Callithrix jacchus: one gene and its partner. The protein of the gene in region 1 interacts with the protein of each later gene in a pairwise test. Links are inferred from orthologs where the notes say so. Each region holds a gene or a part of one and is shown on either strand. Other genes may lie near its edges. The genes, in order: MRFAP1 and BRK1.

Evidence for each region.
Region 2: the proteins of MRFAP1 (region 1) and BRK1 interact in binary tests that used the Homo sapiens proteins (3 or more experiments, as listed by UniProt). The link is inferred for Callithrix jacchus from reciprocal best matches to the Homo sapiens genes MRFAP1 and BRK1.

The regions. Positions count from the first base shown.
Region 1 is NC_133504.1:186,867,115-186,871,199, forward strand, and holds MRFAP1 (MORF4 family-associated protein 1), read left to right. Parts: upstream 1-1,391; 5' UTR 1,392-1,434; exon of another isoform or gene 1,435-1,552; 5' UTR 1,553-1,590; coding exon 1,591-1,974; 3' UTR 1,975-1,986; intron 1,987-2,362; 3' UTR 2,363-3,325; downstream 3,326-4,085.
Region 2 is NC_133516.1:67,286,684-67,291,250, forward strand, and holds the start of BRK1 (protein BRICK1), read left to right. Parts: upstream 1-1,479; 5' UTR 1,480-1,500; coding exon 1,501-1,618; intron 1,619-4,567. UniProt on the Homo sapiens protein: Involved in regulation of actin and microtubule organization. Part of a WAVE complex that activates the Arp2/3 complex. As component of the WAVE1 complex, required for BDNF-NTRK2 endocytic trafficking and signaling from early endosomes.

The DNA of each region.
Region 1 (4,085 bases):
TATTTTCCTTTGACGTAAGTAAGCCCAGAAGTTGGGTTTTCGTAAGGACAACCAAAATATTAAGAACCTGAGAAAAGTCTAAACAAAGCATATACTTTCGTTTCTCTGAATCCTTAATTCTGCTATATTCAAAACTGTGATGTGTCCCTTTAACTGGAAAATAGATGGCACTTATGCGAACTGGGTTTCTGACAAGTAGATTGGTGTTTGGGAATGGGACAACAAGCTAGGAAATTGGCGTCTCTCTCCTCATTCTGTGTTGAGTGGCTGTTAAGGCAAAATTACCACTATGTGCCAAGCTCGGCCCGGGCGTTAGACCCGCAAGAGCCCTGGATCCAGTGGAAGGCGCAGAGGCTGTGGACACTGGACTTGGGTCAGCTGGGGCCTCACGACGGAGCAGCCAGGCTCCACCTTGGGATGTGGGGAGGTCGGCTTGGTGAAGAGACACCCAGGCCCTTCTGTCATCCAAGGAAAGAGGAAAACTACTCTTTAAAAAGGCAGAGAGGGCCAGGCACGACTGCTCATGCCTGTAATCCCTGCACTTTGGGAGGCCGGGAGTGGAAGGGTCACTGGAGGCCAGGAGTTGACGGCTGCAGCGAGCCATGATCCCGCCACTGCACTCCAGCCTGGGCGACAGAGCGAGACCCTTCCTCAAAAAAAATCTTTTAAAATAATAGCAAGTCAACAAAACGGCTGAGGGGGCTTAGGTCGTCCTGCTTGAGGGGAAGGGGCTCTAAGGGACAACCTGGGGTTGCCGCATTATCACGTAGGCCCCTTCTCTTCCGGTGGGGAAAGCCGTTTTTAATTTTTATTTATATTTTATTTTCTATTTTATGTATTTGTATTGAGACAGAGTCTCGCTCTGTTACACACGATGGAGCGCACCAGCGCGATCTGGGCTCACTGCAACCTCAGCCTCCCAAGTAGCTGGGATTACAGGCGTGCAACACCACGCCCGGCCAATTTTTATATTTTTAGGAGAGACGGGGTCTCGCCATGTTGGCCAGGCTGGCCTGGAACTCCTGACCTCAAGAGATCCACCTGCCTCGGAGTCCCAACAGGTGTGAGAGACACCACGCCCGGCAACTGTGGGAAGCCTTTTCTAAAACTGCAAACTCGCGGGCCCGAAACGCCCTCTAGGAGGGGAACACCCGGAAGAAGCCACCTTCCAAAAACAGGGTAGAACCAGGGTGACGCACGGAGGTAACGGGAACACCGGGATGAGCGAGACCGTGCGCGCTCCTGCTCGCGGGTGCCAGAGTGCGCGTCCGTGCGGCCGTGACGGCTCCCCGGGCACCGCCCTTTCTCGACGTGCGCGCGCCCGCAACTCGCCGCCTGACCGTAAAGAGGCTCGGCTGTGTCGTGAAAGGAGCCGCAACGCGCAGAGCGCTGGTTGACGGCCGGGACTCCATTTTGTTCGCCGCTATTCTGCTCGTAAGTCGCTTCTCCGTGGCTTCTCCGAGGAGAAAAGTTGAAAAGGGGTATAAAAGTTTCCAGTGATATTCGGGCTTTCTGTGGCTAAGCATAGCGAGTGTCGGTTTTCTCTCTCCAGCAGACATCGCGACTTGGGTTCCGAGGCAGCGGGAGGAGATGCGGCCCCTGGACATCGTCGAGCTGGCGGAACCGGAGGAGGTGGAGGTGCTGGAGCCCGAGGAGGATTTCGAGCAGTTCCTGCTGCCGGTCATCAACGAGATGCGCGAGGACATCGCGTCGCTGACGCGCGAGCACGGGCGGGCGCACCTGCGGAACCGCAGCAAGCTGTGGGAGATGGACAATATGCTCATCCAGATCAAGACGCAGGTGGAGGCCTCGGAGGAGAGCGCCCTCAACCACCTCCAGAGCCCGGGCGACGCGGCCGAGGCCCGGGCGGCCCGGAGGTGCGAGAAGGCGGAGGAGAAGGCCAAGGAGATCGCGAAGATGGCAGAGATGCTGGTGGAGCTGGTCCGGCGGATAGAGAAGAGCGAGTCGTCGTGAGCGCGGCCGGCGGTGAGTCGGGCACCCGCGCGGGGCCGCGGAGCGGAGGGCGACGGTTCCCGGAGGCCCCGGGGTCCGGGGTGGGCGGGGGAGTAACGGCGCGCGCGGGGCAGGGCGGGGCCGGCCGCGTCTGCGTGTCTGGTTTTCTGCCGGTGGCGGCGTGGGATAATCAGAGTGGCGGGGTTTGGGCGTGATGCGTGTTCAAGGGGAGGGTCGTCAATCTCAGAGTCGCCAAGGAAACGAAAACGGACGGTCCGGCAAGGGGCGGGGCGGAGTTAGAGGGTTTTCGGAGAGGCGGCGTCGTGCACGGGGGCGTTGGTGAGGGTTGGGGGTCGCTGTGCCCGGGATTAACCTCTCGATGATGAATTTCTTCCCATTGTGCTTTTAGGTTTGCAGCCAATGGATTCTGGTCAACTGGTGGAGATTGGCTGACACCCCGGAGAAGCTGAAACCAGAGAGCCTTTTGTTTTCCCTTTTTTCCTCTGTCTACGCTCTGTCTCACTTAACACTACGTTTTCTGCTATGGTCTGTGGTTAATGACCTCAATATGAGTTTTGATTGTTCAGTGTTTTCGTTTGGGAAGTAATTTTGTTTGGAAAATGCTCTCACATGCAGGAATTAGGGCCTAGATTGTAAGCTCTTGCAGTCACATTTGTTCCCGGGCTTTGGTTATTTCTAAATTTTTGAGGTGCTTTGCTCTTTCTTGTGTGACCTGATAGCTCCCTGGAACTTTGGGTCTGTGTGTGGCGCATGAGACTCACAGTTGGAGTTCTCCAGCTCTGGAGGTGCTGAAGGAGTGGAAGACGACTCCATGCAGCAGCTGCTGAGGAAAGGACCAGACTTCGACGGGGAGTGCAGATGGGCCGACCTGGCTGGGACTGGAGAAGAGCTGGAGAACGGATAGTATTGTCTGTATTTGGAGACTTTAATTTCTGTGTGAGACCAAAGGAGGAGAGATGTATTTTGTTCAAAATTTCAGTTTTGTGTGGTACACTATCTGATGTAACCTATCTCAGCTTTATTTGACATGGAACCTAAAATACAGGATGAGATCTTGATATTCTGTACAAGTTGATGTAATACCCTGATGCGTGTTAGGGGACTTGGCATAAAATGAAAGATTTGCAAAGGCCCTTGAGGGGCTGGGGGATGGGAGTGTGGAACGTCTGCATTGGACCCTAAACTGGACTGAAACAGGCGTCGTAAAGGTTCATACGTTGTCCAGCTGTAAGTTCATTTCAGTAGCAGACCTAACAAATATTTGAGGTCAAAACCCTACCATGTTTAAAAAAAAAAAAAAAAAAAAACTTACCATGTTAATAAAAGTATTCAGTTGCTTGAAAAGACAAAAGACCTCAAAGGTTATTAAGAAAAGTTATTCCTTTAAGAATGAAATCTGCTTTCTTCCAGATTGTTCTGTCACATGGAGTGTGAATGTCTTAGGTTTCTGAGGCTCTCAAGCTCTAATCAAAGGGAAGCGTTATCTCTGCCTGCTGTTGGGAACTGGGTGAGGGGAAAGCACACTTGGTTCTTAGTGTAGGAAGTAACCACGTGTAATCCTGTAGTCCAGGCCTGTGCCTTCAGAGAGCCAAAGTACTTTGTTTTCTAGTCCTTGGACTGGGAATATAGCGATTAAAATTGTAGGGTGAGGGGTGATGGGCCACCCTCCTTCCAGAATGAAGCATTTATCCCCCAGCTGCTGCAAGTGTTGCTGACAAGACACCCTTCAGCTGGTTGGCCCTCTGGGCAGTGCCTTTTCAGAGGAGAGCTGCTTTAGCCAAAGTTAATGCCCTTTCTCCTGAGTAACCTACATCTAGTGACTAATGGGCTGGAAATCTCAGGTCTCTGTTTGTCTTACCCAATTTGGGACCATTTTGAGGGACATGGCTTCCGAGCTCCTTGTGGAGTCTGCTGAGGCTTTAGTTAGGACTGCATCACACAGCCCATCTCCTCCCTCTTCCCAGTTTTGCATTCCTTCTCTTCCACAAGTGCGAATCCCTAAAAAATGTGCGTGTAGTTTTCATCTTGGAGTCCACTTTCTGGGGAACCTAGTTGGTAGAAAAACAAAACCATGTGTCCCAAGCGCTAATAAAGATAGCGTGTCCCAGGAG
Region 2 (4,567 bases), on another chromosome or scaffold:
TGAAACACCCTCTCTACAAATAACACAAAAATTAGCCAGGCATGGTGATGTGAGCCTGTAATCCCAACTACACTGGAGGTGGAGGCTGGAGGATAGCTTAAGTGCAGGAGTTCGAGGCTGCAGTGATCCATGATCATGCCATTGCATTCCAGCCTTGATGACAATAAGACCTTGTCTCAAAAAACAACATAAAAACACAAACTTCCTTCTGCAAGGGATTGTGCCAGTTTGCAGTGTGCCCAGCTATTTATGACCATATAAATTTGGACTCTATCCATTAATGGCTGTTGTCGTTAAAGAAAAAGTTATTCATTTGATAAATGTGAGGCAGACATCATGTGTCATTGGAAGGAATTTTATTTTATTTTTATGTATTTTTTTTTGAGACGGAGTTTCGCTCTTGTTACCCAGGCTGGAGTGCGATGGTGCGATCTCGGCTCACGGCAACCTCCACCTCCTGGGTTTAGGCAATTCTCCTGTCTCAGCCTCCTGAGTAGCTGGGATTACAGGCACACGCCACCATGTCCAGCTAATTTTTTGTATTTTTAGTAGAGACGGGTTTTCACAATGTTGACCAGGATGGTCTCGATCTCTTGACCTCGTGATCCACCTGCCTCAGCCTCCCAAAGTGCTGGGATTATAGGCGTGAGCCACCGCGCCCGGCTACTTTTAGGTATTTTATTTTGAGACAGGATGTTGCTCCGTTGCCCAGGCTGGTGTGCAGGGGGGCGATCTCAGCTCACTGTAGTCTCGACTTGCTGGGCTCAAGTGATCCTCCTGTCTCAGCCTCCCGAGTAGCTGGGGCCACAGGTGTGTGCTACCACGTCTGGCTGGGAAGGCATTTTAAAAATGACTTGTATTTAGGCTGGGCATGGTTACTCACACCTGTAATCCCAGCACTGCACTTTGGGAGGCCAAGGCGGGCAAATTACTTGAGGCCAGGAGTTCGAGACCAGCCTGACCAACATGGTGAAACCCTGTCTCTAGTAAAAATGCAAAAAAAAAAAAAAAAATTACGCGGGTGTGGCGGCCTGCACTTGTAATCCCAGCACTTGGGAGGCTGAGGCAGGAAAATCACTTGAACCTAGAGGCGGAGGTTGCATTGCCACTGCACTCTAATTTGGGTGACAGAGCAAGGCTCCGTCTCAAAAAGAAAAAAAAAAGACTTGTATTTAATGTGATTTAGTGCCCATATTACTGCTGACACTGACTGTGCAACCTGAGCCTGGAGCATATGAGGGAGACGGCGAGACCCCACGCGCCCATTTAACGACCGTAACGCGCATGCACTATAATCTCGCCGCTGGAGTCGAGGCTTCTGTTTCTATAGCGTGGGAGCAGAGAGCAAACGCCGGCGAGGGCGTGACGTTGCACGGGAGTATCACAGTGCCGGAGAATTCGTGGGTGCCCAAGAAGATGGGTGTGGGCTGGCGGCGCAGGCGCACTGGAGGCCTATGGGGTCGGGGCGCCTGCGCAGTCGTTTTTCCTCTGGCTGCCGCCATGGCGGGACAAGAGGATCCGGTGCAGAGGGAGATTCACCAGGACTGGGCTAACCGGGAGTACATTGAAATAATCACCAGCAGCATCAAGAAAATCGCAGACTTTCTCAACTCGTTCGGTCAGCGGGGCGGCAAGGGGAGGCGGGGAGGAGGGAGGCCGCTGAGGCTGTTGGGCTGGGGCGCTGGGGAGATGCTTTGAGAGGATTCCCGGAGCCTTCGGCTGTTGCGGGTTTTCACTTCCTCCTTCAGGTCCCAGCTTCCCCCTTCCTCCCTGACCCTCAGGCTCCGCTGGACCGTCTCTGTAGGGTCATCCTGCCCTACGCTGAGCTCATGGCTTCTTGCCATCCCCCTGGACCCATTCTACAAGCCCTTTTCCCGGACGCGTCAGGTAGCGTCATCCTCTCTCCGTGGTTCTTCTAAGTGGTCTCCCTGCCTCCTTTATGCTCTGCTTCCATCCCAGTCCCCACTTTGCATTCAAAGTGCGCACCCGAGACCGTGTCAGTGCTCTGTTTCTAGATTGTTGACGGTTTCCCATCTTTAGGATCAAATCGAAACCCTCTAGCGTCATGCCTTTTAGTTGCACCCTCAACCACTCTCTTGTCCATTCCTTCCTGTCTCCTGTGTCTGCTGCCCTGAGAGGGGTAGGAGATGAGGTCGGAGTGATTCCAGGATCTTGTAGAACCTTGGAAGTCCTCTCTGTATTGCTGGTATATAGCTTATAGTAGGTGTTCTGTCTGCTTCTAGCCTGTTCTCAGAGCTAACACAGATCAGGTCCCTTCAGCAGAAAGACATCTTTACCAGAATCTTTCCTAGGCATGGCCTGCTTGTGACAGTCTTAAATTTTTCCTCTGAACAGCAAGCAAAGTAATCGAGACTCCTATCCCTTCTTCTCCAAGCGTTTATTTAAGAGAACTTGGCACTGATTAGATTTTCTTGTGTAATTACAGGATATAGGGACACATCTAGTGAACTTTTCTTCAACTAGTATACTTTGGAAATATTTTTAATGAATTAATTATTTTCTAGCTAAAGGACTGATGGCCTTAGGAGTATAAAGGTGACAGAGCAAGAGATTGTCAGAAAGCATCAGCTGAGAGAGGCTAGATCTTCATATAAGGTCCTCTCTTAAGGCACTGTGGGAGACACAGAATAAGAACCACTTCCTACATTCAAAGAAGTTATAATCTTGAAGATGAAATAATGACAACTTTAGGACAAAGAAGAGCATCATTTTTGTATTAAAGTATTTTCATGCAGGATATATAGGACTGTAATCCGTGGCTGGGTGCAGTGGCTCATGCCTGTAATCCCAGCACTTTGGGAGGCCAAGGTGGGAGGATTACTTGAGCCCAGGAGTTCAAGACCAGCCTAGGCAACATGGCTAGATTCTATCTCAACAAAAAACAAACAAACAAAAAAAAAATTAGTTGGGCATGGTAGTTCATACCTATTGTCCCAGCTGCTCAGGAGGCTGAGACAGGAGGATCACTTAAGCCCTGGAGGTAGTGAGCCATGTTCTTGACACTGCACTCCAGGCCTTGGCAACAGAGTAAGACCCTGTTAAAAAAAAAAAAAAAAAAAAAATTCTGACTTGGATCCTAGTAATGTGATTTTATTTCTGAGAACAGAATTATACTAGTAAACGTTTATTTTTTTATTTTATTTTATTTTTTTTTTAGAGACAGGGTTTCACCATATTGGCCAGGCCGGTTTCGAACTCCTGACCTCAGGTGATCCACCCGCCTTGGCCTCCCAAAGTGCTGGGATTACACTGTGCTTGGCCACTTGTAAAGTTTTAATTCATTATATTTATCTTTGACATAAGTCCTTGTATATCATACCCATTAAATTTATAGTGGATGTGTTTTGGGACTTATCAGGTTGCCTAAGGAGGGGTGCCACCGGCCCAGGTCGGAAACAGAGCAGGTCAAAAATCCTGTGCTGATCAGTAGTGGGATGGCACCTGTGAATAGCCACTGCACTCCAGCCTAGGCAACATAGTGAGACCCCGTCTCTTAAAAAAAAAAAAAAAAAACAGGATTTTTTTTAAAAGATAGGGTCTCACTCTAGCCCAGGCTGGATTACAGTGGCATGATCTCAGCTCACTGCAACCTCTTCCTCCTGGACTAAAGCGATTCTTGTGCCTCCACCTTCTGAGTACCTGGGATTACAGGTGTGCACCACCATACCTGGATGATTTTTTTGCTTTTTAAAGTAGAGATGGGTTTTGGCCATGTTGTCCAGGTTGATCTCAAACTCCTGAGCTCAAGTGATCTGCCCGCCTTGGCCTCCCAAAATACTGGGATTACAGGTATGAGCCACTGTCCCTGGCCCCCCAACAAATTCTAAACTAAGGAATTAGACATACAGAAGCCTAAGTTTTTGGCTCCAAAAGAAATGATTTCCCTTAGCTTAGATCATTATCCTCCCTTAAAGGGATGATAGTGGGCAAATGTTTGGAGTAATTACTAGGTGGTTTTTTAAGATTTTAGAAAGTGAATTTAGAGAAAATAACAATTAATTACAAGTAAATAAGACAGATTTTTTGAGACAGATTTTCACTCTGTCACGTAGGCTGAAGTGCAGTGGTACAATCTTGGCTTACTGCAACCTCCACCTCCCAGGTTCAAGTGATTTTCTTGCCACAGCCTCCCAAGTAGCTGGAACTACAGGTGTGCACCACCACACCTGGCTAATATTTGTATTTTTAGTAGAGACAGGTTTTGCCATGTTGGCCATGCTGGTCTCGAACTCCTGGCCTCAAGTGATCCACCCCTACTTAGCCTCCCAAAGTGCTGGGATTATAGGCATGAGTCACCATGCCTGGCCAGAGGCATATTTTTTTCAATAAAAGTTATGCTATGCCTACCTCTCCTGCCTCCCCTACCATCTCTGCCACTCATGAGATAGCAAAACCACCCTCTCTTCTTCCTCCTCTTACTCAGCCTACTCAGCAGGAAGACAATGGGGATGAAGACCTTTATGATGATCCACTTCCATTTAATGAATAGTTAATATATTCCTTTTTCTGACTTTTTTTTGTTTGTTTTTGAGATGGAGTCTTGCTC